Linked DNA regions of Danio rerio. The protein of the gene in region 3 purifies or fractionates together with the protein of the main gene of each other region. This does not show direct contact. Links are inferred from orthologs where the notes say so. Each region holds a gene or a part of one and is shown on either strand. Other genes may lie near its edges. The genes, in order: chd3, smarca4a, mta2, parp1, znf512b, dnmt1 and bcl11aa.

The links.
Region 1: the proteins of mta2 (region 3) and chd3 purify together in Homo sapiens (affinity purification with mass spectrometry; 8 studies listed by BioGRID and IntAct, with this or other methods). This does not show direct contact. The link is inferred for Danio rerio from reciprocal best matches to the Homo sapiens genes MTA2 and CHD3.
Region 2: the proteins of mta2 (region 3) and smarca4a purify together in Homo sapiens (affinity purification with mass spectrometry; 3 studies listed by BioGRID and IntAct, with this or other methods). This does not show direct contact. The link is inferred for Danio rerio from reciprocal best matches to the Homo sapiens genes MTA2 and SMARCA4.
Region 4: the proteins of mta2 (region 3) and parp1 purify together in Homo sapiens (affinity purification with mass spectrometry; 3 studies listed by BioGRID and IntAct, with this or other methods). This does not show direct contact. The link is inferred for Danio rerio from reciprocal best matches to the Homo sapiens genes MTA2 and PARP1.
Region 5: the proteins of mta2 (region 3) and znf512b purify together in Homo sapiens (affinity purification with mass spectrometry; 3 studies listed by BioGRID and IntAct, with this or other methods). This does not show direct contact. The link is inferred for Danio rerio from reciprocal best matches to the Homo sapiens genes MTA2 and ZNF512B.
Region 6: the proteins of mta2 (region 3) and dnmt1 purify together in Homo sapiens (affinity purification with western blotting; 3 studies listed by BioGRID and IntAct, with this or other methods). This does not show direct contact. The link is inferred for Danio rerio from reciprocal best matches to the Homo sapiens genes MTA2 and DNMT1.
Region 7: the proteins of mta2 (region 3) and bcl11aa purify together in Homo sapiens (affinity purification with mass spectrometry; 4 studies listed by BioGRID and IntAct, with this or other methods). This does not show direct contact. The link is inferred for Danio rerio from reciprocal best matches to the Homo sapiens genes MTA2 and BCL11A.

Annotation. Positions count from the first base shown.
Region 1 is NC_133182.1:20,738,892-20,742,704, forward strand, and holds part of chd3 (chromodomain-helicase-DNA-binding protein 3), read right to left. Parts: intron 3,560-3,813; coding exon 3,386-3,559; intron 1,586-3,385; coding exon 1,461-1,585; intron 734-1,460; coding exon 495-733; intron 1-494.
Region 2 is NC_133178.1:18,061,063-18,064,875, forward strand, and holds part of smarca4a (SWI/SNF related BAF chromatin remodeling complex subunit ATPase 4a), read left to right. Parts: intron 1-482; coding exon 483-584; intron 585-1,633; coding exon 1,634-1,769; intron 1,770-2,286; coding exon 2,287-2,423; intron 2,424-3,813. UniProt on the Homo sapiens protein: ATPase involved in transcriptional activation and repression of select genes by chromatin remodeling (alteration of DNA-nucleosome topology).
Region 3 is NC_133182.1:17,876,490-17,880,983, forward strand, and holds the start of mta2 (metastasis-associated protein MTA2), read left to right. Parts: upstream 1-1,436; 5' UTR 1,437-1,820; coding exon 1,821-1,848; intron 1,849-4,494. UniProt on the Homo sapiens protein: May function as a transcriptional coregulator. Acts as a component of the histone deacetylase NuRD complex which participates in the remodeling of chromatin.
Region 4 is NC_133195.1:46,980,990-46,984,802, forward strand, and holds part of parp1 (poly [ADP-ribose] polymerase 1), read left to right. Parts: intron 1-14; coding exon 15-257; intron 258-1,892; coding exon 1,893-1,958; intron 1,959-2,059; coding exon 2,060-2,192; intron 2,193-3,813. UniProt on the Homo sapiens protein: Poly-ADP-ribosyltransferase that mediates poly-ADP-ribosylation of proteins and plays a key role in DNA repair.
Region 5 is NC_133198.1:14,911,585-14,915,872, forward strand, and holds the start of znf512b (zinc finger protein 512B), read left to right. Parts: upstream 1-1,317; 5' UTR 1,318-2,072; intron 2,073-4,288. UniProt on the Homo sapiens protein: Involved in transcriptional regulation by repressing gene expression. Associates with the nucleosome remodeling and histone deacetylase (NuRD) complex, which promotes transcriptional repression by histone deacetylation and nucleosome remodeling.
Region 6 is NC_133178.1:57,143,210-57,147,022, reverse strand, and holds part of dnmt1 (DNA (cytosine-5)-methyltransferase 1), read left to right. Parts: coding exon 1-172; intron 173-246; coding exon 247-344; intron 345-2,051; coding exon 2,052-2,202; intron 2,203-2,577; coding exon 2,578-2,693; intron 2,694-2,791; coding exon 2,792-2,990; intron 2,991-3,067; coding exon 3,068-3,201; intron 3,202-3,276; coding exon 3,277-3,456; intron 3,457-3,532; coding exon 3,533-3,757; intron 3,758-3,813. UniProt on the Homo sapiens protein: Methylates CpG residues. Preferentially methylates hemimethylated DNA. Associates with DNA replication sites in S phase maintaining the methylation pattern in the newly synthesized strand, that is essential for epigenetic inheritance.
Region 7 is NC_133188.1:29,069,846-29,074,367, forward strand, and holds the start of bcl11aa (BCL11 transcription factor A a), read left to right. Parts: upstream 1-1,663; 5' UTR 1,664-1,768; coding exon 1,769-1,823; intron 1,824-2,213; exon of another isoform or gene 2,214-2,631; intron 2,632-4,522. UniProt on the Homo sapiens protein: Transcription factor. Associated with the BAF SWI/SNF chromatin remodeling complex. Binds to the 5'-TGACCA-3' sequence motif in regulatory regions of target genes, including a distal promoter of the HBG1 hemoglobin subunit gamma-1 gene.

The DNA.
Region 1 (3,813 bases), about 2.9 Mb from region 3:
AACGTTTTGAGATTTTGGGCTGTTATGTTTACAAATTTTGTCTTCATTTAAATTAGTGAAAATAAATGTAAAAAATGAAGGTGACTTTTTTATTTTTTAATTAATTAAAAAATGTATATATATATATATATATATATATATATATATATATATATATATATATATATATATATATATATATAGTTACAATACTTGCCTGTATGTGTTTTTTAAATTACAGTTCAAGAGCCAGAAACTTTTGACTTATATTTGAATCACCAAGTACCACAGTTTGAGCTAAAAATCCTAATTATTATTGTGAATGACCTAAATGTGTTTAATTGTACTGTAATTGTACCTTAATTGTACTGTGATCAGCTGAGGAAAGCATGATGACATTCGCTAGGTAATTTTCCCAATTAAGTTATATGCTATTCATTTCAATTCAATTCTCTAGATTCAATTGTTAACAAGCTTTGTATTTATATAAAATAGCGACTAATAAATCTGGCCACCTTTGCCCTCTTTGGTCTTGGCCTTGCGTAGTGGAGGTGGTTGAGGTGGAGGTTCGGGCGAGGCTGTTGCTGCGGAGACCTGCTCGGCAACGGCTGCAGCCGCAGCGGCAGCAGCTGCAGCGACGGCTGCTGCCGAACCCTTGAATGGATTATTGGAGCTGAACTCCCGCCATTTGGCCCCAAGAATGGTCATCATCTTGGACATGGGGATTTTAGGGTTCTTCTTAGCAATCATGGGCCTGCAGAAAACAATATGTTGACATACATCCAAAACACACAAGCAATCAATTTAATCAATTTTGGTCTGCAGATTTTAATGACACTAAATAAATGAAAAGGCCATTCCTTCAAAATGTGTTATTTTCTTAAGTTTTAAATCTTTAATTTGGCAGGACTTTTAATTCATATATATATTTAGGGATTAAACTGGGGGGTATGTTCATTCATACTTAATTTGCTTTGCTTATATATTACATTTTGTTCCTCAAATTTTTTCTGGATGTTTGCAGTATTATCTAAATTATGCAGTGATTCAAAAAAAATTCCCTCTGTAAAATCTTTTGACTCTCATTCATTCATTTATTTTCTTATCGGCTTAGTCCCTTTATTAATTCGGGGTCGCCACAGCGGAATCAACCGCCAACTTATAAAGCACGTTTTTACGCAGCGGATGCCCTTCCAGCCGCAACCCATCTCTGGGAAAATCTTTTGACTTTATTAATTAAAAAAAATAATTTACTCTGACTTTGTCGAATGTTTTGGTGCCACAAATGTATGTAAATTAGTGCATATTTAATGAAAGAATGTCTCATTTACATATTTTTACAACATTCGAGAAATATTTTATTACAAAAATGCTTGCCATTCTTCGTGTAATCAACCAACTCAGGAATTAATGAGATAGTATTGGCATAAATATGATGCAAAGGAACAACAACGTGTCAAACTTCTAGTGAAAGTCAGTACCTGAGGAACTGGCTGAAGGCTTTGTAGTTGGTTAACGTGCGGTAATCTTCTTCTGTGAATGTGTGATCAACATCCTCAAGTCCCCACTCTCTCGCCAGCTGGGCTGATGTTTTCATCTCTACCGGCTGGAAGAGAGAGACTCTGTCACATGATCGTCACAGTGTGGATGGGTAATAAGAATCCGGAAATATCTGTATCCTAAACCCCACTTTAGCTTAGCTGGATCAGTAATTATGTGTGTGGTATATTATTATTGACATGAAGCAGAAACACCATGTTATGTTTTCAACAATCTTTCATAATTCCTAAATGGAAGCGCAAGAAGAACGTCTGATCATGTGTTTGCATATGTGTTTGTGAATGTGTGAAGATTTGAATGCAAACACTTTACATGAATACTAATTTCAGGCATATAAATAGTGCTAACACAAGCTCTCAAGAAAACACCTCGTTAGTTCTGATTCTATCTGTAAATAAACCAGTTTATTGACTGGTATTGAGGGTAAGATTACATAACATTGCTTTTAATTAGAAACAATAGGTTTTAAGAATTTTGACCATTCATGTATATGACAACAGAGTTTGGGAGGACAAAAAGCTATTCTGAGCCATCAAGTGCAACTTATTTTCTGGAAAATATGGTAAACATACTATTAGATCATTTTTGCTAGCTTTAATAATGACGCTGTTTTGATGTAATTTTCAAAATTGTCCTAATCAAATCATTAATTAAACTATCACAACTTGGAATGACTAAATTGTAATATTCCATAAATTGATTTGGCTCAAAGCGTGTAAACATATAACGTACATATTAACAATTCAAAATAATCAAGTATAAATACGAGGCTCTGACTAATAATGGATGCTTGGTCAAATTAGGCCAATTTGTATGGTTTTGAAATCTTGTGAACTCTGTTGTTTTGTTGTTGCTGATATTTGTGTTTCATCAGTAGTCCGTGTTAATATGATTTAAGTAGAGGTGCCATCGCGTGCACACAAGAAATCACAGAAAAAGCTAACTGATATGACACGATGCATAAACTTGCATAAACTTTTATATTAAGCAGTTTACATGTGTTTGTTGCCTCGTTACAAATACACACTGCAAATTACACACAATATACACGTTAAACTATCAAACAATACATTTAACTAGACAATGTGCATCTTTGGGGTGGTGCTGAATAAATTTATAATCCGTCTATCCTACATTTTGCATTCTGATGAGCTGTGAACATCCGGTGGTCTGACTGCTTAAAAAAATGCTCATTTTTAGTCTCACTGCCTCTCCCAATTTTAAAATAAAAGTCCCACGTACATAGAAAGTTTAATACAAGCATAGAACTTAAATATATGGGGAAAAATTATCATTGTTGTAATCTCACAAGGAAATGTTGTGGCCAATCAAACGCTGCCTAGGGAGTGCATATTAAAATAATCAAAGTTGATGTTCTGTTCTGATTGGCTTGATTTTCAGTGGGATTTTACACTGACATAATTTATATGAAAGAAAGAAAACAATGGGGTTTGAGGCTCATGAGGCATGTCATTATAACCATGTACTGAACTCTTATTGTTTAGATTTGCCAGGTATATTTAGATTTTCATTCTATGGCACCTGTAATTACTGTACACCTGAATTAAAGTATATTTGCCACTAGATACATTCTTTAACTCATTTAGAAAAAAATAAAAATACATTCACAGAAAAAGGCATGCAATTTCTACACCACTTGAGCCAAGTCAGAATGTTTATATTTTTAAATCGGTTTTCTTTCTCGACTTGGGTAAATTAATTCAATTTCAAAGTTAACAATGGGCTGATTGTGTTTGATTTGGACACAGATAATGGTTAGGATGAGCACACAGCCTACAACAGCAAAGAAGACAAGAATACAAAAGGACGCAAAAGGACGGATAACCTTCGTGGTCTCTTCATGCGTGCTGTCTTCATCCTCTTTCTTCTTTTTCTTGGTTTTCTTCTCCTTCTTGTCCTTGTGTTTCTTCTTCTTTTTCTTCTCCCCTCCATAATCACTGGCAGCACTGTCAGAGTTCATGGCATAGTCCGGCTCTGAGTCTCTCTCTATGTCACTCTCCTGAAAAAAGAGAGAAAGAAAATAATATCAATCTTGAGGCCAAATGATTAGGGCTGCCAATATATTGCATTCACTCTTTTTATACCATATTTAATTAAATATGTATATAAATTTAGTAATAAATTTGAGCAATTAGTCACTTTTAAAGGCTTCTTTCATTCACAACCTTAAATTCTGTCATTCAAGGTGACCTTTTCAACATATATAGAGGGGAAAAAAGTATTGAACACGTCATCATTTTTCTCAGAAAACAT
Region 2 (3,813 bases), on a different chromosome or scaffold from region 3:
TTTCACAAACATGGTTGAGAACTCTGGATGTTTCATTATGTAGTATTTTCTGATTTTTATTTAGATTTTAAACCTGAAAGGACAATTCTGACAATGTTTTAGGGTGTAAATCAACTCTGATTTATTCAATTATTGCATTAATAGAGTTATAATACGAACGCTTTTCATGAATTGGTTAATGAATGCAACAAAATATTTGGTCACACTTTATTTTGAGGGTCTGTTTGTTGAATTTAAGTTACATTGCATCTACATGCCAACTAATTCTCATCAAATAAGTACACTGTTAGGTTGGGGTTAGTGCAAGTTGACATGTACTTGCAAAGTTTCTGATAGTCAGTTAAATGTCTGTTGAAGGAGCAGTATCAGCAGATATTAAGCAGACAGTTTACTAATACTTAATTGGACCATCAAAATAAAGTGTTACCATATATGTGTGAATAAACATTTCAGTGTTAAATCCTTCTCTCTGCTGTACACAGGAGCGCATCAGGAGTCACAAGTACCGCAGTCTGAATGACCTAGAGAAGGACGTTATGCTGCTGTGTCAGAACGCTCAGACCTTCAACCTGGAGGGATCTTTGGTAATGTTCATCATACTCTTTAAGCCACAATCTTATTAAACACCCATCAAAAATACCAATTCGACCAAGTTTATTGTCTTTGTGCAAAAAAACTGATGTTTTTTGTGTAAAAAGATGAAAAATGTGTAAGTGTGTAACTGTCTTTCACACTGAAAAAGTTTGCTCTGGCCACCCTGGCGACAACGCTGTCAAAAATTTACAGATTAATATTTTTCTGATCCCATAACATAACCATTAATAGTTGTTTTGGAAGATTTAAAAAGATGTTTACCGCTCCCCCAGTGAGGGCTTAAAAATTTGCTACACTGATCTCGTATTTAGAGGGGCTATCACAGTATATCAGCCGATCAGTTATTCCCGCATAAAAAAATCTTGTTTTATATTATGAAAATGAACTTGTGTCATAGCTCACTGCTAGAAAATTGACTTGATTTCAACTCTCTTTGGCGGCCGCACTAGCGAAGATGTGCAACCGCTGGTTCCCATTGAAAATGAATGACTTCCGGCTACTTTTTTACGCTTTTTGTGTGCTTTCGGCTATTTTTCTGCTTTCGATGTGAATGCGCAGTAAAAAAAAAAAAAAAAAAAAGAAGTATTGTGTTAAGTATATCTGTTTTTGTACACTTTATTTTTTAGGTTTTCCACATTTTAAAATGTTTGTAACTTAATTTTTTTTTATAATAATTCCTTCATCAAAACACATTGTAAAAAATGCTGTGTTCAACACAATTACATGATGTTGTGTCAACAAAAATCGATTACTTAACCTAATAGAATTTACAAAAGTGGATTGAATATAAAACAATTAAGTTGTCTAAACTCAACTCGTTTTAAATAATTAGTTTGTCAATTTTTAAATGCATAAAACTTTAATTGACATTAATTTTCATCTTTAGTTGTTGTATTTAAGCTAAACATAATTGAATATGGCGCAATAGGTTATAATATAATGTTTTATATAAATGTTTTTTCCATCTACTGCATCAGTGTCTTTAAATTGGTACAAGCAACCTAAAATCATTAAATGAGTTGAGGGTTTGACATTTCAGATCTACGAGGACTCTATCGTGCTGCAGTCTGTGTTCACCAGCGTGCGGCAGAAGATCGAGAAAGAGGAGGAAGAGAGTGAGGGAGATGACAGCGAGGAGGAAGAGGATGATGTCGATGAAGGATCCGAGTCTGAATGTAAGTTGACAATAATGGTCTCCATTCACCAAATTGTTATGACTCATTTCAGTCATCAGCATTTAAAATTTAAATGGTATGAACATTTGAATTTATTTATGTATGTATCATATCATCTTTGCATCAAATTACAAAAAACAAATTACTGCTTGTGCGAGGCATTTGTAAAACAGTGTATGGGCAGGACAGTAAATGTTCTCTCCTGGTTGCCGTTATCGATCTCACACTATTTGTTTCCTATTTCTGAAAGTCTTGCCAAAACCATCTGGGAGTTTTGCTTTCATTTTTTTCAGCAAGTAGGATTGTAAAAAAAAGATTTGCTGTACTCTCGTATTCACTGCGCTCTACGTTTACTCCACTATAAAGACTTCCGCTACTGAGAAACCCAGACAAGTGAAAAGGGTCCATACTGCTACATGAATGAATCCAAATATTATCTGATTACAGTATAAAACACTTACAACTCTAATTTATATTAAGCCCAATATTAAAATATTTGTTTGTGTATATATTACAGCTCGTTCAGTGAAGGTGAAGATAAAGTTGAGTAGAAAGGACAAGGCGGAGAGAGGAAAAGGACGACGCCGAACCGGACGCAGCTCGCGGCCTAAACCTGTTGTTAGTGATGACGACAGTGAGGAAGACCAGGAAGAGGTACTTGAGAATAATCAATGATGATGATGATTATTATTACTGTTATTATTAATATCATTAATATTACTACTACTAATAATAATAATGATAATAAAGGAAAATATAATCTACATACAATACAAAAGTAAACATTAGTTTCCTTCTTTCTATTTTTGTTTTAACCCAAGCCCTACCCCAAGAGCTGAACAAGAATAATCAATGAAGAATAATTAAACTTAAAGGGAAAAAGTACACACACACACACACACGCACACACACACACACACACACACACACACACACACACACAAGTAACTAAATTTGCATTCAATTCAATGAAGAAAATGTTTTGACTCTTTAACTGCTCTAGCTCTTCAACCCCTTAACTCTTAGAGTTCACACCTGAAATTATGACGTATACGTATTAAATGCGGTTTGTTTGAAGTTTTTTATGAGGTTTCTTTTAAATTTGTTATAAGGCAGTGGTGCTCAACCCTGTTCCTAGAGATCGACCTTCCTGCAAAGTTCAGCTCCAACCCTGTTCAAACACACCTGAACCAGTTAATTAGGACCTGAACAGCACTTGATAATTATAGGCAGGTGTGTTTAATATAGGTCTCTAGGAACAGGGTTAGTTACGCCTGTTATAAGGTTTTGACCATTTAAAAAAAAGGTCTGTGTTCTAGGTAGTTAATAAGTTGCACTACTGTTATTAAAAGACATTTACACAGCTTCTTTTGTGAAAATAAATTGTTACTCTAATGTTTTTGAAACAAACTTATATTGTTAAAACACTGTTTAACATTTGTTCACTACTGTTTTTAACATGAGGACACTGTTACACTATAAAAAAAAAAAAAAGTTTTGCACATCTGGTGACACGGTGGCACATTTGCCTCATAGCAAGAAGGTCGCTGGTTCGACTCCTTGCCTAGGCCAGTTGTCATTTCAGTGTGGAGTTTGCATGTTCTCCCCTTGTTGGCGTGGGTTTTCTCCATGTGCTCCGGTTTACCCCACAGTCCAAAGACATGCGCTATAGGTGAAATGAATAAACTAAATTGGCTCATACACTCATAGTGTATGAGTGTCTGTGTAAATGAGTGTCTATGGGTGTTTCCCAGTAGTGGGTTGCAGCTGGAAGGACATTCGCTTCGTAAAACATCCGCTGGAATAGTTGCCATTTCATTCCTCTGTGGCGACCTCTGAATTAAAGACTAAGCCGAAGGAAAATGAATGATTGAATGAATAAATGTTGCACTTAAGTTTTTGAGAAAAAAACAACAAGTTTACATCATTTTTTTTGTGAGAAGACATTGTTACACTACAGTGCTTGAAAAAAGACACTATTACACTGTGACTACTAAAAATATATCAGTGCACAACTGATTGTTTAAAGTAACTATATAGTATA
Region 3 (4,494 bases):
TCTGGTGACTGTGGAGGCCATTTGAGTAACTTAATATCGTGATCAAAACACCAGTGTCCGATGATTCACGCTTGGCCATCAGAAGATGGGTGCACTGTGGTCATGTAGGGATGGACATGGTCAGCAACAATACTAGGATAGGCTAGAGATGGTTGTGCGTGAACATCCCAGCAGTTTCTGAAATACTCAGATCAGCCTGTCTGGCACCAACAACCATGCAATGTGCAAAGTCACTTAAATCAGCTTTCTTCCCCATTCTGATGCTCACTTTGAACTGCAGCAGATCACCTTGACCCTGACTAAATGCATTGAGTTGCAGCCCCCCCCAAAAAAATTGGGTTAACGAGAAGTTGGACAGGTGTACCTAATAAAGTGGCCGGTGAGTGAACATTTCACAACAATTATGAACAAATAAAACAAAATAAAAATGAGATGATTTTATTAGCTACACAATCAAAGTATAAACAGATGCCAGGAGTAAAATAAATACAGTGCTTGGCATAATTGAGTACACCCCATTTTGAAAATGAAATGAATATGTTTATCCATTTCTCAGTGAATATAGGCAGTGTATTTCGGTGTGTTTATACAAAACAGATTTATTAGACAGATATGTTTATTAAAATAATATTTTAGTCACCAAATATATTTAGAAATTGAAAGATAATACAATTAAATTCAAGCTAAATATTGCAAATTTCCCAGAGATGGGTTGCGGCTGGAGGGGCAACCGCTGCGTAAAAACTTGCTGGATAAGTTGGCAGTTCATTCCGCTGTGGCGACCCCAGATTAATAAAGGGACTAAGCCGACATGAAAATGAATGAATGAATGAATATTCCAAAATAACTACAACCTACAAAACTTTTCAAAAAAATATAATGTTTTGCTTTGTCTGATTTTTCCTTTTTTTAAATGTGTATTTAATATTTTTCTATATCATATAAATTTGGTTGTACTAGTTTTTGGCCGTTAATGTAAATTATTTTGTGAGGTAAGCTCCAGATTTAGCTTTAGTACAGACTAATCTAATGTATATCCACAAATATAATATTGTAAGCTTTCTATTAAAATCATATATGTAAAAGATAGTTTTGTGAGGGGTGCACTTATATATGCTAAGCTCTGTAGATGGGTAGGATAATAAAAAACAAAATATTTATTTAATCAAATTAAATTTGCATAATGCTTCAAATGTATTTTTTTTTAGCTTATCTGTTTTTAATGTTACACAGTGTAGTGCCATACTGTTTAGTCTCCTTTGTAAAATGTTCACAGTTCGGCTTAGCTTCAGCCCATTTCTTGACTGAAATGTATATTTGCCAGGAGTTTTCCGAATTCGACGTGACGTTGCGAGCTTTCGAAAATGACGTTGCAGAGGGGGTGCGTGCCCGTGCGCGCGCCCGTATGTGTGTGTGTGTGTGTGAAACAGAGCGGAGGTGAAGAAGAGGAGGATGAAGCAGGGAGCGGAGGATGGGAGGAAGAGTGGAGTGAGTGAGAGAGAAAGAGAGAGACGGGCTGGCTATCAAGGGCTCGTGTCAAGTGTGAATGTCTGAGAGGGGCTTCGATGGGAGTTTTATCGCAGCGCCGAAACAAAGACGCGATCTTTTTTTACCATCCGGAGAAACATTGTAGCGGAAACTTTAAACTTTTACCCGCCAGAGCGGCAGCGCCGTGCCGGGTCCCGGCTTTGTCTCGCGACGGGGGGAAGTACGCCAGCACACGCGAGGATATAAAGAACCAGCACCACGTTCGGATACACATTTTGACTCCCACGAAGAGGGAATCTGCGATTATTGCGTTTGTTTAGGAGAGCGAGAGAATGGCGGCCAACATGTACCGAGTTGGAGGTGAGTATTATTGTTAAGGCTAACACTAGCAGCAGGCTCGCGGGGGTTAGCATTAGCATTAGCGCGAGCGGCTGTTTCCGCCTTAGTTACAATGAGCGGAATCCCGTTGCTAAGCAGGCTAGGCTAGTTTCGTTACGGCTGCATTCGGGATAACTCGAATTTAATTATTAATATATGTATTAAAGTTCACTTGTGAAGGTTTAAAAACTCGTGCTGACTCTTAAAGTCTTTCTTAACTCAGTAGTTTTGGTTTCTTTTTAATAATTAGCCGCCGCAAGCAAATGAGCTAATTATACAGAAAGCCTTGCGTTAGTTTAATCCATTATAGTGCTTTTTACTTACTTTTTCTAGAGTTATGTTGAAGTTTTTGTCGTGCACGTTTCCCAAACTCTGTCAATCTGTCAAACCTTTGACAACTGAATCATATGGGAGACTCGCCGCACTTTCAGTTTCGTCACCTGTTTGAAAGGAAGCAGTAAAATAATCCAAAATGTTTAGTTAAAGGTGTATTACACGCATGTTTACACTTGGTTAACCTAGAAATAGTGTTTAGTACTAAAAAAAGTCTCTTTTCTATTCTCATATATGCAGAAGGCGCGTATAATGTCCTATCCAGCTGAAGTTTTCTCCATCATACATGTTCACTTCTACTGTAGACTCTCCTACATATGCCTCTCATATGTCTTTTGTCTGTAAGATGCTGGTGATGATAATATGCGTTAACATCACTGACTGACTGACGGCTTGGTAACCATCTACATTACAGTGCCTTTACGTTCTTAAATCCGTGAATCGGCCGTAAATAGGTCACGGCAATCAGCCTGTGTTGCTTTAGCAGACGCCGCTGATTGCTTTATTGCAGTTGCAGATTGAACATGCAGCGAGTTCTGCAGGAAAGAACTCACTTATTACACGCTTGTCAAAATGTATTAGTGTTTACGACGCGAGACTGGGTTCAGACGAAGAAGAAGTCTGCGTCAACTCACAACTGTCATTTGAACCGTTTTCTCCAATGAAGGTGCTGTGTGGGATGGCACTGTAATGATGTTCTGTCGTAGCTTGACTGCGCTGTTCGTTAGTGTTTGGGGAGGTTTGCACACCCAGGTACTGCTTTCGGTAGGTCACTGGACTTGACCTCCTTATTTAGCCTCGAGCTTTGCATCTCTGCGTTTTCACCTCTGTGTTCTGGAGGTTTGTGACTCAAATGCTGTCACTGTTTTTTGTTCAGTTCATTTGACCAGAGTGTTTGCTTTTGTCATTGAGCTTCCTAGAATGCATTAGTGATCGACTGAGGTATCTGCTGTTTAGTGCTGCCAGGCTGAATCATAAGTCAATATTTGTCTCTTTTGAAGAAACTGGCGTTTGACAGTAACTCTGCTCGACCGACAACCCGTGCGGAAGTGTCATGATTAAAATCATGAAGATTAAATTTCTACCTCTATTTAAAAAAAAAATGCATCATTAAGTAGAAAATTATTCATTATTCACATTTATGTGACTGTGGACTACAAAAAAAAAGTGATGTTGCACTGGAATATTTCTGGCAATAGGCATGACACGATAACTGTTTCAAGGTTTACCGAGTTTTGGAAAAGTCAAGGTTTTCTTTCTTTCTTTCTTTCTTTCTATCTATCTATCTATCCATCCATCCATCCATCCATCCATCCATCCATCCATCCATCCATCCATCCATCCATCCATCCATCCATCCATCCATCCATCCATCCATCCATCCATCCATCCATCCATCCATCCATCCATCCAAATTTGTTTTTGGTTTTAATGAACATACAAACAAAAAAGGACAAAGACAAGGATATCAGTAGACACAAGTATTGCAACAAAAGTCATAAAAAAACAAACAGAATACAAAAATCATAATAAACAAATGAAGTTTTGCTGTGATTTGAGTAAAGTTACACTTATTATGAAAATAAATTCAGCCATTAGAGGCATCCATATTTTCTGAAAGACATCTCTTTTGTTTCCTAAGCAGTTTGTATTTTGCTTTAAGAGCATTGTTTCATTTAACGTGCGTAGAGTTGCTGAAGTTTGCCTTGTACACTTGCAATTTTTTAGGAACTTCTTTGGTTTGGTTTGTCAATCTTGTCAATGCTATTATTCAAAAAAGCTAATGATTCGCACTCAAGTAATTTCTTCGTACTGTTTTTATTTTTTCTTTCTCTTACATTCAACGGGTGATTAAAAGACACAGATGTTTTGGCACAATGCCTTCCTCAGTGCTCATTGTTTTATTTAAGAATTGTATATACAGTTTAAATGTTGGAGGCCTTTGTTGGTTCCAATTGAGCAAAATGCATTTTTTTGGAAGATAAGAAATGATGTCGAGTCGCTTTGTAGAAGTAGTATGAAGTGTCTTTTTCAATTCTGTACCAAACAGGTATGGTGTTGGTGTGTTGTCCAATGGAATTTGCAAAGCTTTGGATGTGAAGTCCTGTACTGCTTTCCGGAAAATGTTTAGCTTTTGCATTCCCCCAAAAAATGCATGATTGATCCTGAATATGTTTTACATCTGTGACACCTGGATGATACATTTTGCTCAAACGAAGTGCAGTCAGTCAGATACAAAGTCAAGGTTTTAAAACCATCAATTTTCTGTTATACCGTTCCTATGGTACATTTAAG
Region 4 (3,813 bases), on a different chromosome or scaffold from region 3:
CTGCCTTCCCTCAGAGGAGATTGAGAAGATGAGTAAGAAAATGGAGGAGGTGAGAGACGCAGGTGTCCGCGTGGTGGCTGATGATTTCCTTACTGACATCAAGGAGTCCGGCAAGGCCCTTCAGGAGCTCATCTCTCTGCATGCCATTTCCCCCTGGGGCGCTGAAGTTAAAGTCGAGGCCCCGGCTGCAGCCGCGGCCACCAAATCCACCGGAGCTCATTCCTCAAAGAGCACCGGCAAAGTCAAAGAGGAGGAAGGTTAGACATGTCTGCAGATTTACGTAGAAAGTAACTGATACAAAGGGATAGTTCAAACGAACATGAACATTTACTCACCCTTAAGTGATTTCAACACTATAAACAAGCTGTTTCGAATAATGTTAGAAACCTGTAACCATTGACTTACACAGAAGGAATAACAAATGCTATTAAAGTCAGTGGTTACAGGTTTGCAGCATTTTTCTAAATAACTTTTTATTTCAACAGATGAAAGAAATTCAAAGCTGTTTTGAATAATCCTGAAAACCTGTAACCATTGACACCCCATAGTATTTGCTTTTCCTACTGAGGAAGTCAATGGTTACAGGTTTTCAGCATTTTTCATAGTAACTTATTTTGTGTTTAACAGAAGAATCTCAACGCTGTTTGAAAAAAATCCTGAGAATCTGTAACCATTTACATCCCCAGTAGGAAAAACAAATACTATGGAGTGTCAATGGTTACAGGTTTTCAACATTTTCAAAATATCTTATTGTGCATTCAACAGAAGAAACTCACAGCTGTTTTGAAAAATCCTGAAAACCTGTAACCATTGACATCCACAGTAGGACAAGCAAATACTATGGAAGTCGATGGTTACAGGTTTTGGTGTTCAATAGAAGAAAGAAACTCAAACCGGTTTGTGACAGGGGAATGCTAATTAAATGATGAACGAAGTTTTGGGTGAACTATCCATTTAACATCAGAAATTGCTTGAGATTTTAATCATTTATTCATTCATGAATTATTAAATCATACTTTACAAACTTGGGACGAAATAAATATTGATTTTACTATTGTTTATAATTAATAAACAGTTTGTTGTATCCTTTGGTTTATAGTGGTATTCTGTTTAAATAAATCGAACAGATTTCAGAAGTGGTTATAAAGGTGTCTTCTGAAGGAATTTTAGAGTACTTATCATTGATCAAATTGAAAACTTATGACTTTTTATCAGTGAATTGGGTAAGCTAAATTGTCCGTAGTGTATGTGTGTATGTCCTGGTCCTCCAGGTTGGAGATTAAGCGTTGGACTAATGACCCACCTCGTAAAAATTTGATATTACGAAACACCAACATGGTGCGGCTAAATATCAACTTAGATATAAACGGTCCTGGAAGTGTTATTATTATTATTTTATGGTGATTATTTAGTTTTTGTTTCTGAATACTTTTTGACTCCACAGAAAATCGTAAATCATTGGTTGTTTTGTATCTGTTGTATTTAAGTTTGCTTGTCATTTTTAAAATCATGTTACAGAATGTACTTGCAGAATCATCATATTCGATCTAAAATGATAAATATCGCAATATATATTGCAGTAATTAAAATTATTGCAATGCCAGTTTTTTCCAATATTATCCAGCCCTAATTTGTATGTTTTTTTTTGTTTGTTTTTTTTGTAAAACGAATAATTAAGAAACAGATATGATTGCAAATTATATATTGAATATTACTACCAGTGTTGTCAAGAATGTAGCCAATGCTCCTGATATGGCATTAAAACATAAATAAATAAATAAATAACAGAATATAGAAAAGCACTTGCATGTTTTTTTAAATAATTTGTAAATCTTAAAATTACTTATTTTACCTTCCTGCTTAATAAAAACCCTATTTTCTTCTTCCTGCAGGTGGAAGCAAATCAAAGAAAATGAAGCTGACAGTGAAAGGAGGAGCTGCAGTAGATCCAGATTCAGGTGATTAACATTTTCCCCCATATCTCATTCAGGCGACTCTGAATATTACATATGGTCATGTACTGTTTATTCAGATCTCTAATCACGGTTTGATTGTTCAGGTCTGGAAAACTGTGCTCATGTTCTGGAACAGAATGGAAAGATTTACAGCGCCACACTGGGTCTCGTGGACATCGTCAGAGGGACAAACTCATACTACAAACTACAGCTGCTGGAGGATGACGTTCAAAAGCGGTGAGCTTTCTGAAGGATTCCTATTGTACAAACATTTATTCTTAAACACAGTGATTTTCTTTTTGTAATTTCAAACTTTGTGTTTTTCTTAGACTTTTTAAGAAGGTCTTTTAACAAATGCCTGCTTTAAAACCTTGCAGATGTGTATGTTTTTTCATATTTCTTTAGAAAAGTGTTAAAATAGGGTACAATTTTATGTAGGATAATCAATACAACCTTTTGGCATTTTGCATGTATTTTGTGTGTTCTAATTCTTTCATTTTTATATATTGAACATTTATAACTTCATTTTATTTCAAGTTGTGAATATAGTATTATTAAATGAATAAAGTAGTTTGAGGGTGCTTTCACATCTGTAGATCAATTGTTTAGTTCGGAAAGTTTCTAATGGACCAAAATAGTTAAAACAAGTCACTTGTGTGAGTTTCAGGGTTTATTTTTCAGAGTTATTCTTATTTATGATGATGATAAATGAGACATTATAAGCAAAAAATGTGCACTTTAATTTTGACACCCACAGACATTGTCAATAAATATAAGTCAGAGAGGTAAGACTTTCTCATACATGGCCTCATTTTAGTAAAAATCTATTTATTGAATCAGTCAAACTTTTGAAAAAAAAAACTGGTTCGAATTCTGCACTATAGGCTTAAATTATAGAGAGAAATAACAGATGAACCAAGTCTGCAGTCAGATCACAAAGCAGATCAATGTTGATCTTTCTTTTGAGGTGTGAGTGCAGAAATGAACAAAACAACAGGCTTAATACAACATATTATAAAACTAAAATATGGAAAAAGCTATTGAATGTTAATTTTGGTACATTTTTCTAACACATAAACAGCTCTGTAAAATTTCAGCATGCTTTCACTTTCGTATTCGACTTGAAATGCACATTTACAGGTAGGAAGGACATCTCACCCTTCTCATAATTCTCTCTTCATATAGTCGTATATATGCCTATTGCATATACATAATACACTGTGATATAGTCTGGTTCATTAGTTTGTTGGATCGCTTTGCTTTCTCTCTGCAATCGATCTGCACCCTAATATTACAAAAAAAGATTTTAATGATTTTTTTTATCGTTGTTATTATATCTGTCACTACTGCTTTGTCTGTTTTATCTGTATTATATATTTAGTTATTTATCTTTGCGTCTAAAATGGATAAATAAAAATTATGATCACACTTTACATTAAGGTTTCATTAGTGTATTTGACGTGAACTAATTAGGAACAACACTAGTACAGCATTTGTTAAACGTAGTTCAACATTTAGTAATGCGTTATTAATATCCAAATTCATGCATGTTAACTCTAGTTAATGACGAGCTGTATTTTCATCAACTTACATTAAATAACATGGACAGATGCTGTAATAAATGCATTTTTCATTGTTTGGTCGTGTTAGTTTATGCATTAACTAAGATTAACTAATACAACCTTACTGTAAAGTGTTACCGAAAATACTATTAATCATAGTTTAACGTTTACTAATGCATTATTAAAATATTAGTTAATTAATTCAGTTCTGTTGAGTTGACAAGAACTAACAATGATTAACCTTTTGATTAACTAAAGTCAACAAAGATGCTGTAATGTTTTGTTCGTTGTTTGTC
Region 5 (4,288 bases), on a different chromosome or scaffold from region 3:
AATTCTGATTTCAACTGTATATTTTTCTGTTGTGAATTCATTTTGAGAAAATGAATTGTTTAAAAAGCATTACAAGATGTTTTACATTACACTCTATAATATTTTGCATTAAGACAAAATGGCCGAAATTGCTTAGAACCAAAACAATTTCTCGTATTGTAAGACCAAAAAGTGATGATTTTGACAACAGGGAAATTATGGAATATAGGCTAAATTTTAACCAACATTAAAAAAGCAAAAACAACAACAAAAAAGGCATTATATTTTAACCGTGACTCACATCACAACTTTAACTTTATCTTCAACTTTAATGACTTCTGGCTTAACTTAATCTTGTCATAATTTTTCTTTTTATAACTTATAAATCTAATTATTTTAAATTCAAAGACTTGTAGATAGACATTTAACTAATTTGGTACTGATTGGATTGAACTAGTCTATATCATTTTAAAAAGCAAAAATAAAAATAAATGGATAAAAATAAATGCATGGACGTTTCATTTTGAAAATTAAATAAATAAAACTATGTCATATGTACAGTTGAAGTCAGAATTATTAGCCCCCCTTTGAATTTATTTTATTTTTTTCCCAAATGATGTTTAACAGAGCAGGAAATGTTCACAGTATGTTACAATTTTTCTTCTGGAAAAAGTGTTATTTTTTTAATTTAGGCTAGAATAAAATCAGTTTTAATTTTTTTTAATCCATTTTAAGTTAAAAAGGTATTGCCTTCTTTAAGTTAATTTTTTTTGCCTTTAATGTGTTGAAAAAAATCCCTCCGTTAAACAGAAATTATTCGGCAAAAAAAAAAATAAACATGGGGGATAATATTTCAGGGGTTAAAAATTCTGACTTTAACTGTATGCACATTAAACTTTACAATTGGTATGATGTCATGTTAAAATATGATCATTAACACTTTTTTCTATGGACAGCAAAAGCTATTCACTGAAAATATTTATATTAGTATGGGTATAAACTAAAATACAGCCTATAATAATACAGTAGCCTACTCGACGTCGATAATATGCCCATTCTCAGATTATTAACTAGTCTTTAACAACTACGAAATCTCTTCTTGAATCCACGAGTCGTACAAGTTACGTCATATAATGCAAACGATCTCATATTATGCGCCCACTACATATAGATAGATTGTAGCCGTCCGGAGCCTTTTCGTCATAACGGAGCGGCATGACGTCGAGCCGCATCAAACGCTTCCATTCAGGCAGGAGCTTTATTATGCAGAAATACCAAAATGATTGGCCTGATATCAAAATGAGTGATCATAAATAATAACGCGAGAGTTTGCAAGTTGCCTGCCGACTGTAGTCACAACTGTCAAAGGCAGCAGCAGCGGATACGCGCGTGACCCAGCACCCATACTGTTACTGTACACGGTCGCGGAGATAATATCCCTATCAAACAAATACACGGCATAATCCCGAGGTAAGGAGAGGAATATATCGAGGGGGCTGCGGCGGAAACTGCGCGACGCCGTGCCTTTCCCCTCCGCTTTCCGTCGCGTTCACTTCTTCCAGCCTCGATTACTGCACTAAACATATCCCCGTGCCTCCTTTAGCAACAGCGCGAGGTTTTTTTTTTTTTTTTTTTACTCCTCCTTCGTATTAAAGTCGCCATTTTGCTTCACTGCCTATGAAAGCTTCTTGTATTTTGATATTTTTTGCCGGCGTTTCTCCGTATCTGTGTGCGTGCTTATGAGTTGGATTTTAATGAGACAGCTCGTGGATTACATATTAATGAAGAGGGGCGCCGAGTGCAGTCTGGAAACACGGTGAAAGTAGTCGGCTTGTGAGCATTTGCATCAGCTGGCTCTTTTTTCCTTCTTCATCTTCTTCCTCCTCCTTCATCATCTTCCTCCGCGGATACGCACAGCGGGGGCCGTGAGTGTGGCTACCGACCGTGACGCCCGTCTCCCCGCGACCCCCCGCGCGTCAGGTGTGTTTGCCATGTAAAGTGAAGCTGCGCGACGCGAGAGTAAAGGCTACAGCCTGACCCCACGTGGGTGACCCGCTCACCCGCTCACCCGTCAGTGTTGGGTGGCTTTCCAGGTAGGTGTGGCCTTCGAGAAGTCGATTATCTGTCAATACTGTCAATAAAGACATAAACGCACCTTTCCTCTGGGAAGACGCGTGCTTTAACGCGTTATATGGTGTTAGTGCTTTTTTGGAGGTGGAACGGAATATGCTAGTGGAATGTGTTGTGGTGTTTATATGTGAGCTGTCAGTCATATTATTAACCACTCACACACTGTTTGAGCACTTATGTGGGTCATCCTCACTGTGCGCATGTTTTGTCTTTGTCCTACCATGTTGGGTTAAATATTAAAAAGTTTAATGGAAAAATGTCACAAGTTTTACCATGGGGTGAAAATGAAACTTGCACAAGTAATACAGATGTTTATCTTTCTGTGTGTGTTTAACAACTTATATAAATTAAGTTTAAGCAATAATATTCTTGAGTTGTTGTGGGGATAACTTAATTGTTTTATGTTCAATCCACTTAAATTTGAATGAACTAATAAATTAACTTAATTCCTTTATGTTGACCCAACAAAATCGATTGTGTGGAACCCAGAATATTTTACAGTCGGTGTGTTGTTGTGAACCATGTTTTCTTTGAAATGTTGCTTTAATCAATAACCAGAAAGTTTCTCCCTGTGACTTCAATGTCATATTATTTTTGTTTTGTAAAACCGTCTAGAAATAATGGAAAACAGACAGTTCTTTAATAACCCAATCCTTTGGGAAATTACTGTACATTGTGTCTTGTATTAAAAAACTGTGTATGTCCTATTACATTGGGTTGATTATTAAAAGTTTGTAATTACAAAATGTGACATTAGTTTTAGCTTGGGGTGAAACTGAAAAAAAAATAACTTGCAGTTCATGAAATAATATTACACCTTTATTGTGTTACTGCAAAACTAAAATATTTTCTTAAAAATATTATTGTAATGAATGATAGGCTAAATAGAGATGTCCTGTGCCCCCAATTTTGCTTTTTATCATCTTATTTAGATCTTACTAAAATATTAAAGATAAACCATGTTTTAAATAACATAATACCCAAGGAAGTGACATAATTCATTCATTCATTTTCTTTTTTGGCTTAGTCCCCTTATTAACTTGGGGTCGCCACAGCGGAATGAACCGCCAACTTATCCAGCATATGTTTTACGCAGCTGATGCCCTTCCAGCTTCAATTCAAACATCCATGCACACTCATTCACTGCGGACAATTTAGCCTACTCACCAGTACTGCATGTCTTTGGACTGCGGTGGAAACCGGAGCACCCAGAGGAAACCCACGCAAACGCAGGGAGAACATACAAACTCCACACAGAAACCTCCTCAGTTGGTGTTTCTGTGTGGAGTTTGCATGTTTTCTCCGCGTCCACGTGGGTTTCGTTCGGGTGATCCAGTTTCCCCCACAGTCCAAATACATGCGGTTCAGGTGAATTGGGTGGGCTAAATTGTCTGCAGCGTATGAGTGTGAATTAGTGTGTATGGATGTTTCCCAGAGATGGGTTGCAGCTGGAAGGGCATCCGCTGCATAAAACATGCTGGATAAGTTGGTGGTTCATTCCGCTGTGGCGACCCCAGATTAATAAAGGGTCTAAGCTGAAAAGAAAATAAATGAATGATTAACTTAATGATTAACATTGGTGCTTTATTTTGATGCATGTCCAAGAGAATTTGCAATTTGTTGGAAGGAATGAGAAACTGCTCATATGATGTGCAAAAATGACTAATAGTTTTGAGAAATGCATTAACTATTGTGCAAATGTAAATAGTTCTGTGAGAAATGCACCAAAGCGACTGAGAAAAACTGTTGTCCGATTGTCTAAAAATAATTATTAATAACATTTAAATGCTGTCAGGCTGTCAGTCAGGGAAAAAAACAAAACATTTTAATTAAAATACTGAAAATACAGCTCAAGCATATTTATTCTTCTGAAGTTATGGTTTGATAGCTATTGCGTGGCAGGAATGAGCCGTGTGTGTTTCTTTGATTGTGTAGGCACACTTCCATCCACAGCCTTTCTAAAGTGTGTGATAAATTCCCCAAATACCATAGCACTTAGTCCTACCAGCTGCTTTTCCTATTACCTTATTGCTCTTTTCCTTTCTGGAATCAACTTCTGGCTCACAAAATGAGCTTCAGCCTGTGGGCCATAAATAATTTGGTCTAATGATCTTCAGCACTTGAAGATCTATGGTTCCTCTTTGTGGGTTAGGTGATGAGAGGGCTGTTCTGTGATCTG
Region 6 (3,813 bases), on a different chromosome or scaffold from region 3:
CAGAAGACAAGCCGTCCGCCATCCCACTAAGATTGAAAAGGACAACAAGGGCCCGACTAAAGCCACCACCACTAAACTGGTCTACCTGATCTTTGACACATTCTTCTCTGATCAGATTGACCAGAACAATAAGGATGGAGGTGTGAAGAGACAACGGTGTGGTGTCTGTGAGGTTGGTTGTCTGAAAATAGCAGGCACAGTTTAACTGAAATGCAAGCATGATGATTGGCGACCTTGGTATTTCAGGTGTGTCAAGCTCCAGACTGCGGCAAGTGTTCAGCTTGTAAGGATATGATCAAGTTTGGAGGCAGTGGCAGAAGTAAACAAGCCTGTCAGAAGAGGAGGTATGCTTACTGTGCAGTCTTTGCTGTTGCGTAATCATTCTCCTCAGCAGTTTTGTATTTTCCATGTGTTTTAAAGGCCTTTCTTTGCTTTCTCTGTTTTTATATTATAATGATTAACATTTTGAATGAGGCTAAATGTCATTCAACAATTAAGGTTTTTAATAGTTTTTACTATTTATAGTGCCAATTTTGTCTATACTCATGCCATTTTAAATTGGCATTTCATTTACCTAGGCATGTATATTTAATTGATCTCAGATTAAATGTTACAATGATATCTAATTGTCTTAAACAACTTCCTAGTTGTTGACCTTTTAGGCCCCGTTTACACTAGTGCGTTTTAGTATTAAAACATCGTTTTAGAATGAAAACGATCCGCGTCCACACTCGCTTTTTACCCAGCGTTTCTGAACTGCTCTCCGTCCACACCAAAATTCTGAAAACGCACATCACATGACCACACACACACACACACACACACACATTCGGGCCAGCGCTGCAGCCCATCTACCCAGATGAGAGCTGTGCTAGTCGGACTTCTCATCAAGCATCTCCTGCTGGATCTAATCTCACTATATTTATTAAACGTGATATTTCATTCATCTTGTTGTCTTTATCTAACGACATATTCCCTGACTTTGGTCACTAGAATATATTAGCCTACTTGTTCTCAGGTAACGTGTTTTGGCTAAGCGCAAAGATAAGTTAATGATCAATGTAACCACGTAGCCTATTCTGTATTATTGACTGATCGCTTGCCTTTATTTCCTATAATGTATAAAATTATTGTATGTTATATTTTTATAATGGCCATTATCGATTATTAAAACTTATATTCAGCAAAAGAGAGGGTATGTTTCGTATTTTAACTGAAATTGAAAGGAGGCAGTTGTTATCGGCTCCGTTTTGTTATAAATATCCACACAGTGAAGATGACGCTCGCATGCAGCCCGACGCCTCAACATTTCTGCTGTCTGTTAAGTTGCTAATATCAAAATGAAAATAGGCAGTTCCTTAAATCATGTTTACATTTGATTTTATTGTTGAGAAAGTGAAACAACGTAGCCAGGGTGAATGAAGTTATACAGTACACTGTTCTCTTTGAAGATTTACCCGTGTCCTCGGTATAGTCTGTTTTCCATATCAAACTGAGAAGAATAGACTGCAGCCTTGATCAAACTTGCAAAGTCTGAACTTGCAAGGAGAGGATGCAGGACTGAACTGTGTGTGTTAGGCTACTTAATATTGAGGAAAAGCCCCAATCAGAGAAGCGAATGTCTACAGCCCAGCCTCCATTTTCAGATGTCTCCGTTTTTGCTCATCCACACTTAAGACGGAGCACCAGCGTTTCAGAATGAAAACGGCCTCTCCAGCGTTTTCGAAACGCTCTGTTTTCGGCGCTCGAACTCCGGCGTAGTGTGGACAGTTGGCGTAACCGTAGCTAAACTTATGCGTTTTCAAACTAAAACGCATTAGTGTAAACAGGGCCTTAGGCACATCATGAATATATCAACCTTGTGTTGATTGCACAATATTTGGTGACTCCAGGTTTGTTGTTTTGAACTATTAAAGGTCAGAGCACACTTGGTCTCTGAACCAAACAGTAGAATAGCCCTTTTGAGAAGCAGATCCTGTTGGTGATATCGAACTTCATGATTTTGGATTTGTTTGCCAGGTTAAAGCCTAATGTTTGTTTTGTCCATCCAGGTGTCCCAACCTGGCAGTGAAAGAAGCTGAGGATGATGAGAACATGGATGAGGAGGATGTGTTGCCAGTTAAGGATACAAAGAAAATGTCTCAGACCAAGAAGAAGAAACAAACCAAGAACAAAATCAGCTGGGTTGGTGAGCCATTAAAGGTATGCAATCTTTATCTGGCAGCGGACACAATATTTTTTTTTTTTTTTTTTTTTTTTTTTCCAGGACTATGGCCATGTCTACTCAAATGGGTATTTGCAAAACAGTAGATTTTTCTACTTGGTTTGGTCATTGGTCCATAATCCGATGCAGTATTAGGGAAATAAAATCTTAACACTGTAGTCTTCAAATTTTTTAGAAATGGTGTTGTTGTAGCTGGTAAACTCCTTTTTGTTTCATGGCTTTTGCTGTTTTTGCCTTAGTTTGTCAAGTTGTGCTACTAACCCTTTTAGCTTTCATGTGGCTGGAGACTTTTCTCCCCTCCCAAATTTAGAAGACTTTAAATTTTTATTTTTTTTTTGCCGTCATCTTTTCAGACTGAGGGAAAGAAGGAATATTACATGAAAGTGCGTGTGGAAAATGAGGTGTTGGAGGTGGGAGATTGTGTATCTGTAAGCCCTGATGACCCATCACATCCTCTCTACCTGGCCAGGTAAAATTATCAAAGCAATTTCTTTTGTAAAACCAAAAGGTTTAACATGTTTACTAGACTCTCTAATTAGTAAATCATTGGTTTCTTTAAATTTGTAGGATTACAGCTTTGTGGGATGATGGTGAGAAGATGTTTCATGCCCATTGGTTCTGCCGTGGCACTGATACGGTCCTTGGAGAGTCATCAGACCCTCTTGAGCTCTTCCTAGTGGATGAGTGTGAAGACATGCAGCTAAGTTTTATCCATGGCAAGGTCAACGTCTTCTACAAGGCACCATCTGAAAACTGGTATATGGAGGTACATACGCCAAAGTGTGGGCAGTGTTTGTGTTTAACAAACTGGGCAGAGGTTTTAACACTGTTATTGTTTTGAAGGGTGGAATGGATGAAGACATCAAAGTGATTGACGATGATGGTGAAAGCTTCTTTTATCAGCTCCATTATGAAGGTGAATGTGCTCGCTTTGAGACTCCTCCCAAGGTCACACCCTCTGAGGACTGCAAGTATAAGTAAGAGCCCCTTTTGACCTATTTTAATGGGACACCTGTTCTGTATTTGTGCTATAAAATGTTATGTTTCACTAGGTTTTGTGCCAGCTGCACCAGAAACAAAGAACGAGAGGCTGAGTCTGTTCCCCATGCCTATGAGCCCTTAGAGGATGAGGAGAGTGACTCTAAAGTCTTCTATGGGTTGGTGAACTATAAGGGAGAGCAGTACAAAGTAGGGGACAGTGTCTACCTACCACCTGAGGCCTTTAACTTTGTGTAAGCTCTTTATTATTTACTGCCTCAAGGGATTTCTATTTGAGTGGTTTTATTAAATGGACCTCTTGTCTTTTAGAGTAAAGGCTGCAAGCCCGGTGAAGCGTTCCCACAGAAAAGATGACGTTGATGAAGATCTTTACCCTGAATACTACAGGAAGTCCTCTGATTACATTAAAGGCTCAAATCTGGATGCTCCTCAGCCTTTCCGCATTGGGCGCATCAAAGAAATCTTCTGCAACAAGCGCAGCAATGGAAAGCCAGACACCTCAGAGATCAAACTGCGCCTCTATAAATTCTACAGGTAACTCTTTTATTCTCCGGAATGATTCCAACCAGTGCGTCTGATTTTGAGGTTGT
Region 7 (4,522 bases), on a different chromosome or scaffold from region 3:
TCATGCGCGGAACTCTTAAAAGTGCTAAATGTATCTAGCTCCTTTTGTGCACGCTGAAAATAGTGCGCTGCGTCGAAATGATATCAAAGGCTGGAAATACAAAATTCAGATCGATACGGTGCTTTTAATCATATGCACTTGTTGAGAACAATGACCTGAAAAGCATCGGCACAGTCAGTGTGGTACAGTCGAGCGGATCCATTGGTATTCCCAGATAGATCTCGCGCAAAGTTGACCTTTTTACCCAGCACAAACCTGACTCAACTTTCGCGTTAAGATCTGACACCTCGCGTCGGAAAAAAACACACGCGCACCAACACAGCGATCAGTCTTGGTCCAGAAACAAAGATGTCAGCGTATAAGCCTGCAAAGCAGTTTCACTCACTCGCTCGCGGGTCACGTATTATCTCCAGCATTCGGCTTCAACTCCGATCGGTTCCCTATTGAATTGTGCCTTTTCCCCGCAGACTGTCACTTGTTCACGCAGCCTCTGCTTTCTCTGGAGTAGTCGCTATAGTCTAGTTGTACTTCTACTAGTTCGCAGGGGTGTCTCTCTCTTCCTCCCACCTCATGCATTGAACTAGCTTGTCATCGCGTTCGGTTATACGCTTCATGTCTCTTTAATTTCGAATGCATCAGCGCTGTTTACAGCATCTTTATATTTCTAAATCCACGCGGCGGTTTACTGACACCCCCTCCTCCCCCCAGTCGCCATTCTCTATAATCTGAACACATCTGAAAGTTATTACCCCGTCCCCTTTCTTTCTAGTGGGCTGCTCCCACAATCTATTCGTCAGTGTGTTGTTATATTTTTACAATTACACTCTTGTAGTATTTAAGTCCCACCTACATCGCGCGCAGAGCGCACGAGCAAGTATCCCATCCCGCTTTATGTGATGTGCCTTAAGTTTCTCTGAGCTGGAGGAATGTGGCAGCGCACGCGGCGGTTGAACCCTGCACATGCCCCGGCTCGGAACCTGTCTGTCCTGTTCATGCAACCCGATCGTGTCTCGCTGAAAAGCAGCTACCTTGCGCGCTACCTTTGACTGTTTGACCAGGAGTTGAGTCAGTGTGTTTGAAACACCATCAGTGTCCACTACGAAACCTTAAATGCGAGGCTCCTCTCTCACTGTCTTTGTATATATAGCACGTCCGGCCCCCTTGAATCTCCTGTCCATTGGCTTTTCGTGCTCTGTTTTCCTGCGTCCACCCCCAGAGCGCGAGCGCGCGCGGACGCACACACACACACACACACACTCCGCAGCGCACATTGCTTTCATTAAACATATCTCCCCCTCTCTCTCTCCTTGTGTGTGTGCTTGTCTCTCGCTCCCTCTTTCTCGCCTCTTGTCCGGCCCCCTGATCTTTCTGTCCATTGGCTTCTTCGGGTCTATTTTTCATGTCCAGCCCCTAATGAGTGTCCATTGGTTTTGTTATTTCCACTCCCTCCTCCTACTCCACGGCTTTGCCCTGCCCATGTTCTGTATGTCTGTGTCCATCCATCTCCTGACGTTCAAGTTCGCAGGGACGTCACGTCCGCACTTGAACTTGCAGCTCAGGGGGGCTTTTGCCATTTTTTCATCTCTCTCTCTCTCTTTTCAAAAAAGCCATGACGGCTATCCCACAATCCATCTTCCCTGCGCCATCTTTGTATTATTTCTAATTTATTTTGGATGTCAAAGGCATTGATGAAGATATTTTCTCTGGAGTCTCCTTTCTAACCCGGCTCTCCCGATGTGAACCGAGCTGAAAGCCACCACCAACCACCATGTCTCGCCGCAAGCAAGGCAAACCCCAGCACTTAAGCAAACGGGATTTTTCGCGTAAGTAAAGACAAATATATGTTGTGCCCGTTGCCTTTACCTGTTTTTTGGCTGCGTTGTGTAGCGTTGAGTTGCTGGAGAGGAGCGTAATTCTCAGGGAAGACACACTGGACATTGGACAGCGCAGCGCCGATCAAGTGGACTTTAGCGAAGAGAGCGTTCCCATCTCTTGAATGCCTTTACGCGCACCGAATCGCCAAAAAGTTTGTCTTCCATCGCTGTACTTGGAGAAGTTCGTGTCGACTCTGTGTTTAGGCGCATATGTCTTGGCTCTCGTGCCCCAGTCGCTTTGACCACTTAAGAGCAAACGCTCACATATACCGGACCGTGGTGGGTATATGCACGCGTGCTTTCGCTTGCTTATTTACTCTCACATCTCGTGGAGTGTCCCGCAACGCTGTCTGTCTGTGATTCTGGGCAGGATTTCCCCCCTCTCGCACTATTTTTGGAAGATTTTCAAAGAGTGGAAGCGAATTTTGATTGGGAAAAATCTCGTGTCCGACTGTTTACAAGCGCCGCGTGCGCTTACTACCCACTGCCAGCAAATAGAGCACGATAGTCTTCTGCCTGAGACTAACAGCGCAGAGTAAGACATCTGCATATAGCCTAATATCGTTTCGAGTTTTACACATTAACGCTTTTCTAACGTTTGAAGCAAAACGCGGTTGTGCAGTATTTGTGGGCTTTCGCTGAAAAGCAGTAGAAGAGTATTTTACGTTACGCTCTTTGCCGTTTCGAGTACATTTGCAAGGAGAGAAATACGATTTCTATTTAGGCCTGATTTTCGTCTTAAATGTCGTTGACAAAGGTAAGACGAAACCTAAATATAATGCAACTATTTGGATACAAATGTATCGAGAAAACCAGGCTTTTTATGCATATATTCGTAACACACTAACCTACTGTTCTTCCAGAGATCATGTTAGTTGACACACTAAACGTGCTTTGAAGGACTGTGATAAGTTGCATTTTTCTAAATAAAGTATGCTTCAGATTATATGAACCTGAAATGTTGTCAGGAGCTCGACGACACAACCATTTAGCTTCTATCTTTTTGATGTTTTAGTTTTGATGTCTGAAACGTAAATCTTCAAAAGCATTAGTCCGCGTTTTAATAGATAAACGTGTTTGACACAAATCCTGAGTTGTTGTAACATTGTAAAGTATCGTGTAACATTATTGGGTTTCCACACACAGGCTGTGGATCTCAGCGCGGGTTACTCTGCGCTTTCGCTGCTGCACGTGTCCGAAATCCACCGCTAGGGGGCACACGACGATCATAAACTAGACTCGAACCCGATCAGTTTCAGCACTATCTATATTTGACCATATGTTTGCAAGAGCGAAACGTATTGTATATGAACTTGTAACAGTTTTTTTTTTACCCCGTCCTGAACTGGCATGAATTATAGGATTTTTAAAAAAATGTCTTGTATATTTTGTAATGGATCTAGAAAACTAACATGACTTTCAGGTAATGCAAACAGAGCCAGTATCGATCTTGATAAACTTTGCCATCCAATTTATAATTACACAGAAGACGGTTATTTTTAAAGCAAAGAAACAACAAGCGAGCCTACAAACTTTTTTAATGAATTTATTCAAAACCCCTTTGAATTTCATACACAGAGAAGCTAATACTAAATCTTTTTTTTGTAATAAGATGCTTTTGAATTTTAGACAAATTAATTGTTTTTAAGTCTTTAAATATTTTTTAGTTTAAGAACTGATTTAATTTGAAATGCATATGCAGGTAATGTAATTTAAAACTATTGTGAAAACTCAGTTTAATACAGTTTTCCACACTTTCCACAAATTTTGAGTTGGCTTAATTTGTTTTAAAATGGTTGAATATTCCTTCAAAACACATTCATGGAATCCTAGTTTATTTATGCAAGGTCAATCGTAGTCTGTGAAGTATATATAATAATATTTAAAAATATGCATATGCACGGAAATCTTTAAATGCCATTACCGATTGTAGAATAACGCATAACTTTAAATGTTGTATTAAGCTATTGTATTAATGTTACATTTTATTGAAGCTGAAATATCTATTAAGCAACTATATGTACTCGCTGGGTGTTATTAAATTATGACTCAAGTTTTTGCAAATATGTCGATTATCTCTGTTTTTATCACAAAATCACACATTACTGGACGTTCTACATCTGGTATCATTACGAATTTAATACGAATCAATATCAATCTGTGTATCTTGGAACCAGATACAAAAACGTTTAACTTCACTTTAAATTGCTCCTATTAGAAATGCAAGCAATTACGCACAATAATACAATGTAAAAACGGAAAACATTCGCTCATATTTAAGGGTAATTGATCACGTTTCGTCTTTGTTATTTCATGTGCAAACGTGTCGAATATTTTACTCATAACCACGTCTGGGAGATACTTCACATCTGCCCCTCAGTATCTGCCCCAGACTGGGCTGAGGTAAATTTAACCGCCCTGCTCGTGATCCCAACACCTTTTTTATTATTATCAAAATCTGTACCAATCATCACCCACTAAAATTAAAATCTATTTTTTGATTCTCAGTGGTTTTAGGTTCATTAAAGCATGAAATTGGCAGCTTATAAAGAAGGTCAAGATTCTTAACCATTAGCAAGCTAGTGTAACCTCCGCGCGAAAGATTTCGCTAAACAGCCGTTATAAATACCTGTGTGTGTGTGTGTGTG